2 linked regions of the Saccharomyces cerevisiae S288C genome follow. The gene in region 1 interacts genetically with each later gene. Each region holds a gene or a part of one and is shown on either strand. Other genes may lie near its edges. The genes, in order: SEC53 and ERG27.

Region 1 (3,536 bases):
GTTCCTCGCCGGATAAAGAAAAAGAGAAAGCGTATAAACTGCGTGCCGATTCCTCGTATCAGTATGATGGTCCAATATATCATCATTCAACAAGCTTTCCGGCTGAACCTATGGCCAATAACGAGTTTGTTCTCAAGGAGTTACCATTCGATTGTGCACCTGGTATACTTTTTGAGATCATGTTCAACTCAGAGCAAAACGAATTTCTTCTAGATTTTTTACGGGGTCAAGAAGGTTCACAAATTACCACTATTCCAAATTTCACGAGCATTGACGGATCTTCCATGACTTTGAAGCGTGAGTATTCATACGAGAAAGCATTGCACTTTCCTGCGGGGCCCAAGTCCACGACATGTTATGTTGCTGAGGTAATAAAGAGAAAAGATCCTGATACTTACTATGAGGTTATCAGTAGCATACGCACTCCGAACGTGCCCAGTGGTGGTAGTTTCTCAACTAAGACAAGGTATCTAATCCGTTGGAATGACGAAATAACGTGTCTGTTACGGGTATCCTTTTGGGTGGAATGGACTGGTTCCAGTTGGATCAAAGGTATGGTTGAAAATGGATGCAAGAATGGTCAATTGGAGGCTGCGCAATTAATGGAGCGTATTCTTTCCAAGTTCATCAAGAACAATGTCGAAGAGTGCCAAATTACTATCAGCAAGGAGGAAGAGGAGCAAGATGATAAAGAAGTAAAAAATAAGTTGAAAGAGGTTGACCTTGAACAACCAAGAGAAGCGGTTGTTACGGCTCCCGCAATTGCAGAGCAGCAAGGTCTCAAGGTCACCATGGAAACATGGTTGTTCTTATACTTGATTGTGGTCGTTTTGCTATTGTTTAATCTGTTCTACATACGTTCAATTGCTGTCTCATTACATCAACTGGTGAAGCTGCAATTGGTAGAACTGAAGTTGTGATCTGTATTTTCTTCGTACCAATATATATCGTTTCTATAGGGCAATGGTAGTAACTAATAGTAAAGGGCGAAATAAGCCGATTTCAGTGGCAAATAACAACTTTTTCCTTTGAAAACAAGATAACATTGAAGAAGATAACCAAGAGAAGAAACTTTCAAGATGAAACTGAAAGTTACTGGAGCAGGAATCAACCAAGTCGTTACTTTGAAGCAAGATGCAACACTAAATGATCTTATTGAGCATATCAATGTAGATGTTAAGACGATGAGGTTTGGATATCCGCCTCAAAGGATCAATTTGCAAGGGGAAGACGCTTCTTTGGGACAAACCCAGCTGGACGAGCTGGGTATTAACTCTGGTGAAAAGATTACAATAGAGTCCTCTGATAGTAACGAAAGCTTCAGTTTGCCACCACCACAACCCAAACCAAAGAGGGTGCTGAAGAGCACTGAGATGTCAATTGGTGGCAGTGGAGAAAACGTCCTATCAGTACATCCTGTTCTCGACGACAACTCGTGTCTGTTCCATGCTATTGCCTATGGCATCTTCAAACAAGATAGCGTTCGTGACCTCAGGGAGATGGTCTCTAAGGAGGTCCTCAACAACCCCGTCAAGTTCAATGACGCCATATTGGACAAACCTAACAAAGATTACGCGCAATGGATTTTGAAAATGGAATCTTGGGGTGGAGCCATCGAGATTGGTATCATATCCGATGCACTCGCAGTAGCTATTTATGTAGTCGACATTGACGCTGTTAAAATCGAAAAGTTCAACGAGGACAAGTTCGACAACTACATTTTGATACTGTTCAACGGAATCCACTATGATTCCTTGACCATGAACGAGTTTAAAACTGTTTTCAACAAGAACCAGCCGGAATCAGATGATGTTCTAACAGCAGCTTTGCAACTGGCCTCAAATTTGAAGCAAACTGGCTATTCCTTCAACACTCATAAGGCCCAGATCAAATGCAACACTTGCCAAATGACCTTTGTGGGTGAAAGAGAAGTTGCTAGGCACGCTGAATCCACGGGACACGTTGATTTTGGCCAAAATAGATAATAAAATACGCATTTGGCGTTTATCGGTATACTCGTCATGAGACACGAAAAGTGGATAAAATGCATTCCTTTTGTCGTTGATGAAAAAAAAATTTGAAATATATTAAAATGTGCCGTTTTTTACGTGTTCTTTTCACTTATTTTTCTGTTTATATCGTCTATTCTTCTTGGCAAAGTATAAGATCTTTGACGAAAACTAAATCGACAATTTCCTTAGTACTTCTTTCTCCTTTTTTACCTATCTGCTAATATAACCACCAATAATGAGTATCGCTGAATTCGCTTACAAGGAAAAACCAGAAACTTTGGTTTTATTCGATGTTGATGGTACCTTGACACCAGCCAGATTAACTGTTTCTGAAGAAGTTAGAAAAACTTTGGCCAAGTTGAGAAACAAGTGCTGCATTGGTTTTGTCGGTGGTTCTGACTTAAGCAAGCAATTAGAACAGTTAGGCCCAAACGTTTTAGATGAATTTGACTATTCTTTCTCTGAAAATGGTTTGACCGCCTACAGATTAGGTAAGGAATTAGCTTCTCAATCCTTCATCAACTGGCTCGGTGAGGAAAAATACAATAAATTGGCCGTCTTCATTTTGAGATATCTATCTGAAATTGACTTGCCAAAGAGAAGAGGTACTTTCTTGGAATTTAGAAATGGTATGATCAACGTTTCCCCAATTGGTAGAAATGCTTCTACTGAGGAAAGAAACGAATTCGAAAGATACGATAAGGAACACCAAATCAGAGCCAAGTTCGTTGAAGCTTTGAAAAAGGAATTCCCAGACTACGGTTTGACTTTCTCCATTGGTGGCCAAATCTCTTTCGACGTTTTCCCCGCTGGTTGGGATAAGACCTACTGTTTGCAACACGTTGAAAAAGATGGTTTCAAGGAAATTCATTTCTTTGGTGACAAGACTATGGTCGGTGGTAACGATTACGAAATTTTTGTCGATGAAAGAACCATCGGACATTCAGTACAATCCCCTGATGACACCGTCAAAATTTTGACTGAACTATTCAACTTATAGCTTTATTTCCAGGTTGCTACGTGATTATGCCATTTGTGATCCGTTTGGTGATTCTTTTTTATCCTTCTTATATAAATAAATATACTCTTACTACGTTATTGAATGTGTACTCTTACTGAACTGTGTTATACAAAACGTAAATGCAATTTTCAAGTACCAAGTCTAGCCCTTTTTCCTCGCTTGTCGCCACTATGTTAATAACCTCATATATGCTAATACAAGTGCAAATGTACCTGTACAGACACCTATCAGCCATTGCATGACTTGAGTCTTGACAGAATCAATCTGCATCTTCATATTGGTCACTTCTTGCTCAATTTTGGTGTCGATTTCTTTTATTTGCAGATCGTGATGACTACTTTCTTCCCTAATTCTGCCTTTTTCTAAGGACAGATCAAGTTTGAAACCGGCGTTTGTTTTGGTAATTTCTTCCCTTAGTTTGTTTCTTAGTTTCTCCAGATCGTTTTTCACACTTTCGTACTCGTTTTGAATATTGTGAAATTCACTTCTATCAGCACTCAATA
Region 2 (3,813 bases), on another chromosome or scaffold:
TGTATGTATTTATATATATATATATATATATGCGTGGTTTTCCATATTGTATTTTTCTTCTCTACTCTATATAGGCATTACTTTGACAGGAACGAGACTAAAGAAGAGGCAAAGTGCTGCGGGTTGTCCAGGAAAAGATTATGGCCAGCATCAGGGACTTCAACGTAGCTAGCCTTTGCCTTGTTTTTTAGCATTGATTCAGTAGTCAAGTAGCCCGCATATTTATCCATCCAATCGTGCTCGCCATACATGAACATGACAGGCGTTGCTGGGTTCAAAAAACGAACGTTGTTTATTATCGGATCTCTAGCGATCAGATTCCTTTCAAACAAATGGGTGAACACCTTGATTGTCTGTGGTTGCACCGTCTGGTTCTTCCCGACAAATGAGTGCAAAAGATAGTCCTTATATATCTGATCCGGAACTTTTACGTATGCGGTGGAGATGTAGTTCGAGCACAATTTGGAGCCTATGGGTCCCATCCACTTCAAAACGTTTAGCTGGTTTTCAAAGATAAACCGCGGTACGTTCAGCTTTCTTGTATAATATCGGGACGATGGGTCGGTAAACGTAAGTGGATAGGTGGTGTTGGGCTCCCATTTGTGGGTGATAGCATGTATACTGTTTTCCACACCAAGAGGAGATATGAGACACAGTTTCTCAATGGAATCAGGGTACTTGAGGGCGTATTTGAATGAAATATATCCTCCGAATGAATGGCCCACCACGTTTATTTTGCGAAGCTTGTTATCCTTCCGCCATTGCTCTATCCTGTCTACGAAGTAGCTTTCGTACTGCTCCAGGTGTGACTTGATGTCCTCTGCTGGGGGGCGCTTCTCTATCACAGGGATTACTACGTCATCTTCTATATGCTTAAACCTGAGAGACTTGATCTTCTTGGTTTTGTTCACTTGCAATGCTGGCGCCTCTGAGGCACCATTGGCTGGCAAGTCGATGGCATATAGATCTTTAATGTTGTCTGACAGGTTCTCAAACGTCCTGTAGAACGCCATCGACGAGGCAGCGTATCCATGGATTAGTACTGTAGGCGTGCACACTTTGTTCGCACGCTTATTGTGGAAATGCCACTGGTTAATCCCGCCTGGAGTCATCGTGTTATTAACGGACCCACGCACAGTGGTGCTATCCATAATTTGCTGCTGCAGGGCCTTCAGGCCCTGCACGCTAGCACACACCTTGGCGTCTGCAGTAGTGGTCTCCTTCTCAGTTTTGCTGCACCATTTGAAAGTGTTTGTCCACATTCTACTGAAGAAAACTACGCTTACGTATGTATATGTCCTGAACAATGAGAGAAAGACCTGCGAATATACTTCTACTACTCCACGTACAAAAAAGAGCACGCTGCTTTATTTATACTTTTGTGCCACAAGAATGATCAACATCAACATAAATATCAACTAGTATCTGCAACACATCTGCTCCACGGAACTAAACCCGTTGAGCAGTGCCCCGTGGAAACGTAAACTATCGCAAATTGGGATTAACAAGCCAAAAACAGCCAAGCAAGATTCACGAAACCGCGCCTCGTTTGGACCCCGAAGGCCCATTTAACGGCCGGCCGTTACAAGCAAGATCGGCAGAGCAAACCACTCCCCAGCACCACAGCACATCACTGCACGAGCAACAATAACTAGAACATGGCAGATAGCGAGGATACCTCTGTGATCCTGCAGGGCATCGACACAATCAACAGCGTGGAGGGCCTGGAAGAAGATGGTTACCTCAGCGACGAGGACACGTCACTCAGCAACGAGCTCGCAGATGCACAGCGTCAATGGGAAGAGTCGCTGCAACAGTTGAACAAGCTGCTCAACTGGGTCCTGCTGCCCCTGCTGGGCAAGTATATAGGTAGGAGAATGGCCAAGACTCTATGGAGTAGGTTCATTGAACACTTTGTATAAGTGTTTGTTGTTTATGTATCCGCATATAGCAGTTATAACAGATAAATGGCACTTTTCGCACACCCGTTGTTTTATCTCCGATAGTACGTGGGCCTTTATTTATGGTCGTTTAACGAAAGAACGGCATCTTGAATTGAGCAGGTATTTAAAAGATAGGACGAGAAACAAGCACATGATCTGTGTCGAAAAAAAGTAGCAAAGAGAAAAAGTAGGAGGATAGGATGAACAGGAAAGTAGCTATCGTAACGGGTACTAATAGTAATCTTGGTCTGAACATTGTGTTCCGTCTGATTGAAACTGAGGACACCAATGTCAGATTGACCATTGTGGTGACTTCTAGAACGCTTCCTCGAGTGCAGGAGGTGATTAACCAGATTAAAGATTTTTACAACAAATCAGGCCGTGTAGAGGATTTGGAAATAGACTTTGATTATCTGTTGGTGGACTTCACCAACATGGTGAGTGTCTTGAACGCATATTACGACATCAACAAAAAGTACAGGGCGATAAACTACCTTTTCGTGAATGCTGCGCAAGGTATCTTTGACGGTATAGATTGGATCGGAGCGGTCAAGGAGGTTTTCACCAATCCATTGGAGGCAGTGACAAATCCGACATACAAGATACAACTGGTGGGCGTCAAGTCTAAAGATGACATGGGGCTTATTTTCCAGGCCAATGTGTTTGGTCCGTACTACTTTATCAGTAAAATTCTGCCTCAATTGACCAGGGGAAAGGCTTATATTGTTTGGATTTCGAGTATTATGTCCGATCCTAAGTATCTTTCGTTGAACGATATTGAACTACTAAAGACAAATGCCTCTTATGAGGGCTCCAAGCGTTTAGTTGATTTACTGCATTTGGCCACCTACAAAGACTTGAAAAAGCTGGGCATAAATCAGTATGTAGTTCAACCGGGCATATTTACAAGCCATTCCTTCTCCGAATATTTGAATTTTTTCACCTATTTCGGCATGCTATGCTTGTTCTATTTGGCCAGGCTGTTGGGGTCTCCATGGCACAATATTGATGGTTATAAAGCTGCCAATGCCCCAGTATACGTAACTAGATTGGCCAATCCAAACTTTGAGAAACAAGACGTAAAATACGGTTCTGCTACCTCTAGGGATGGTATGCCATATATCAAGACGCAGGAAATAGACCCTACTGGAATGTCTGATGTCTTCGCTTATATACAGAAGAAGAAACTGGAATGGGACGAGAAACTGAAAGATCAAATTGTTGAAACTAGAACCCCCATTTAATATATCTCTGCGTACATATGTATATATATATATGTGTGTATATACATGTATGTCTGTATAGAAAACGCATATCAACTGATATATATACACGTGAAGCAAAAAAGGCATTGCCTCTGTCAGAGAAACGAACTATCCTCGTTGCTATAGTGTCTTCTGCACTTATCGCGTAGACTTTCTATTGGCACTCTGTCATGGCATTTAATCTTGTACACATTCTTTAATTCTTCTTGCAAAAGAAGGTACTCTTCATGCAAATGATGACTTTGGAGTGAATTGACTAATCCTGAGTCGTTCCAGAAACTTTTTAAGGCGTTCGTTTCATGATTTATTATGTCATCCAACCGTCTCATATTAGGTTTCGAATTTGTTACAAATTCTCGCCTTGATAACCTCTCCAGGTCTTCTTTGTTGCATCCAGGTACACTCTCTAACAACATTGAACCATTGCCCTCCGGATTCGCACTGTCATATTTATTAGCCTCTTCGCCGCACATGATGTCAATATCGGGTCGATAGCTGTCTATGCCGTCTAGATGGCCCACCTTATGAAACACAAGACAATGTGCTGCCCTTTCGGCTTTCAAAAAACTGTCAATTCTACTTTCCCTTAGCGTATTGCGCTCACA

What was found.
Region 2: mutations in SEC53 (region 1) and ERG27 together harm fitness more than expected from each alone (negative genetic interaction), as found in Saccharomyces cerevisiae (2 studies listed by BioGRID).

Annotation. Positions count from the first base shown.
Region 1 is NC_001138.5:43,104-46,639, reverse strand, and holds SEC53 (phosphomannomutase SEC53), read left to right. Parts: upstream 1-2,247; coding exon 2,248-3,012; downstream 3,013-3,536. Other genes in the region: LAM5 (Lam5p), read left to right, coding at 1-920; ubiquitin-specific protease OTU1, read left to right, coding at 1,080-1,985; FMP32 (Fmp32p), read right to left, coding at 3,202-3,536. UniProt on the Saccharomyces cerevisiae protein: Involved in the synthesis of the GDP-mannose and dolichol-phosphate-mannose required for a number of critical mannosyl transfer reactions such as folding and glycosylation of secretory proteins in the ER lumen.
Region 2 is NC_001144.5:339,667-343,479, forward strand, and holds ERG27 (3-keto-steroid reductase), read left to right. Parts: upstream 1-2,143; coding exon 2,144-3,187; downstream 3,188-3,813. Other genes in the region: lysophosphatidic acid acyltransferase ICT1, read right to left, coding at 78-1,262; MIM2 (Mim2p), read left to right, coding at 1,659-1,922; APC9 (anaphase promoting complex subunit 9), read right to left, coding at 3,304-3,813. UniProt on the Saccharomyces cerevisiae protein: 3-keto-steroid reductase; part of the third module of ergosterol biosynthesis pathway that includes the late steps of the pathway. ERG27 is a catalytic component of the C-4 demethylation complex that catalyze the reduction of the keto group on the C-3.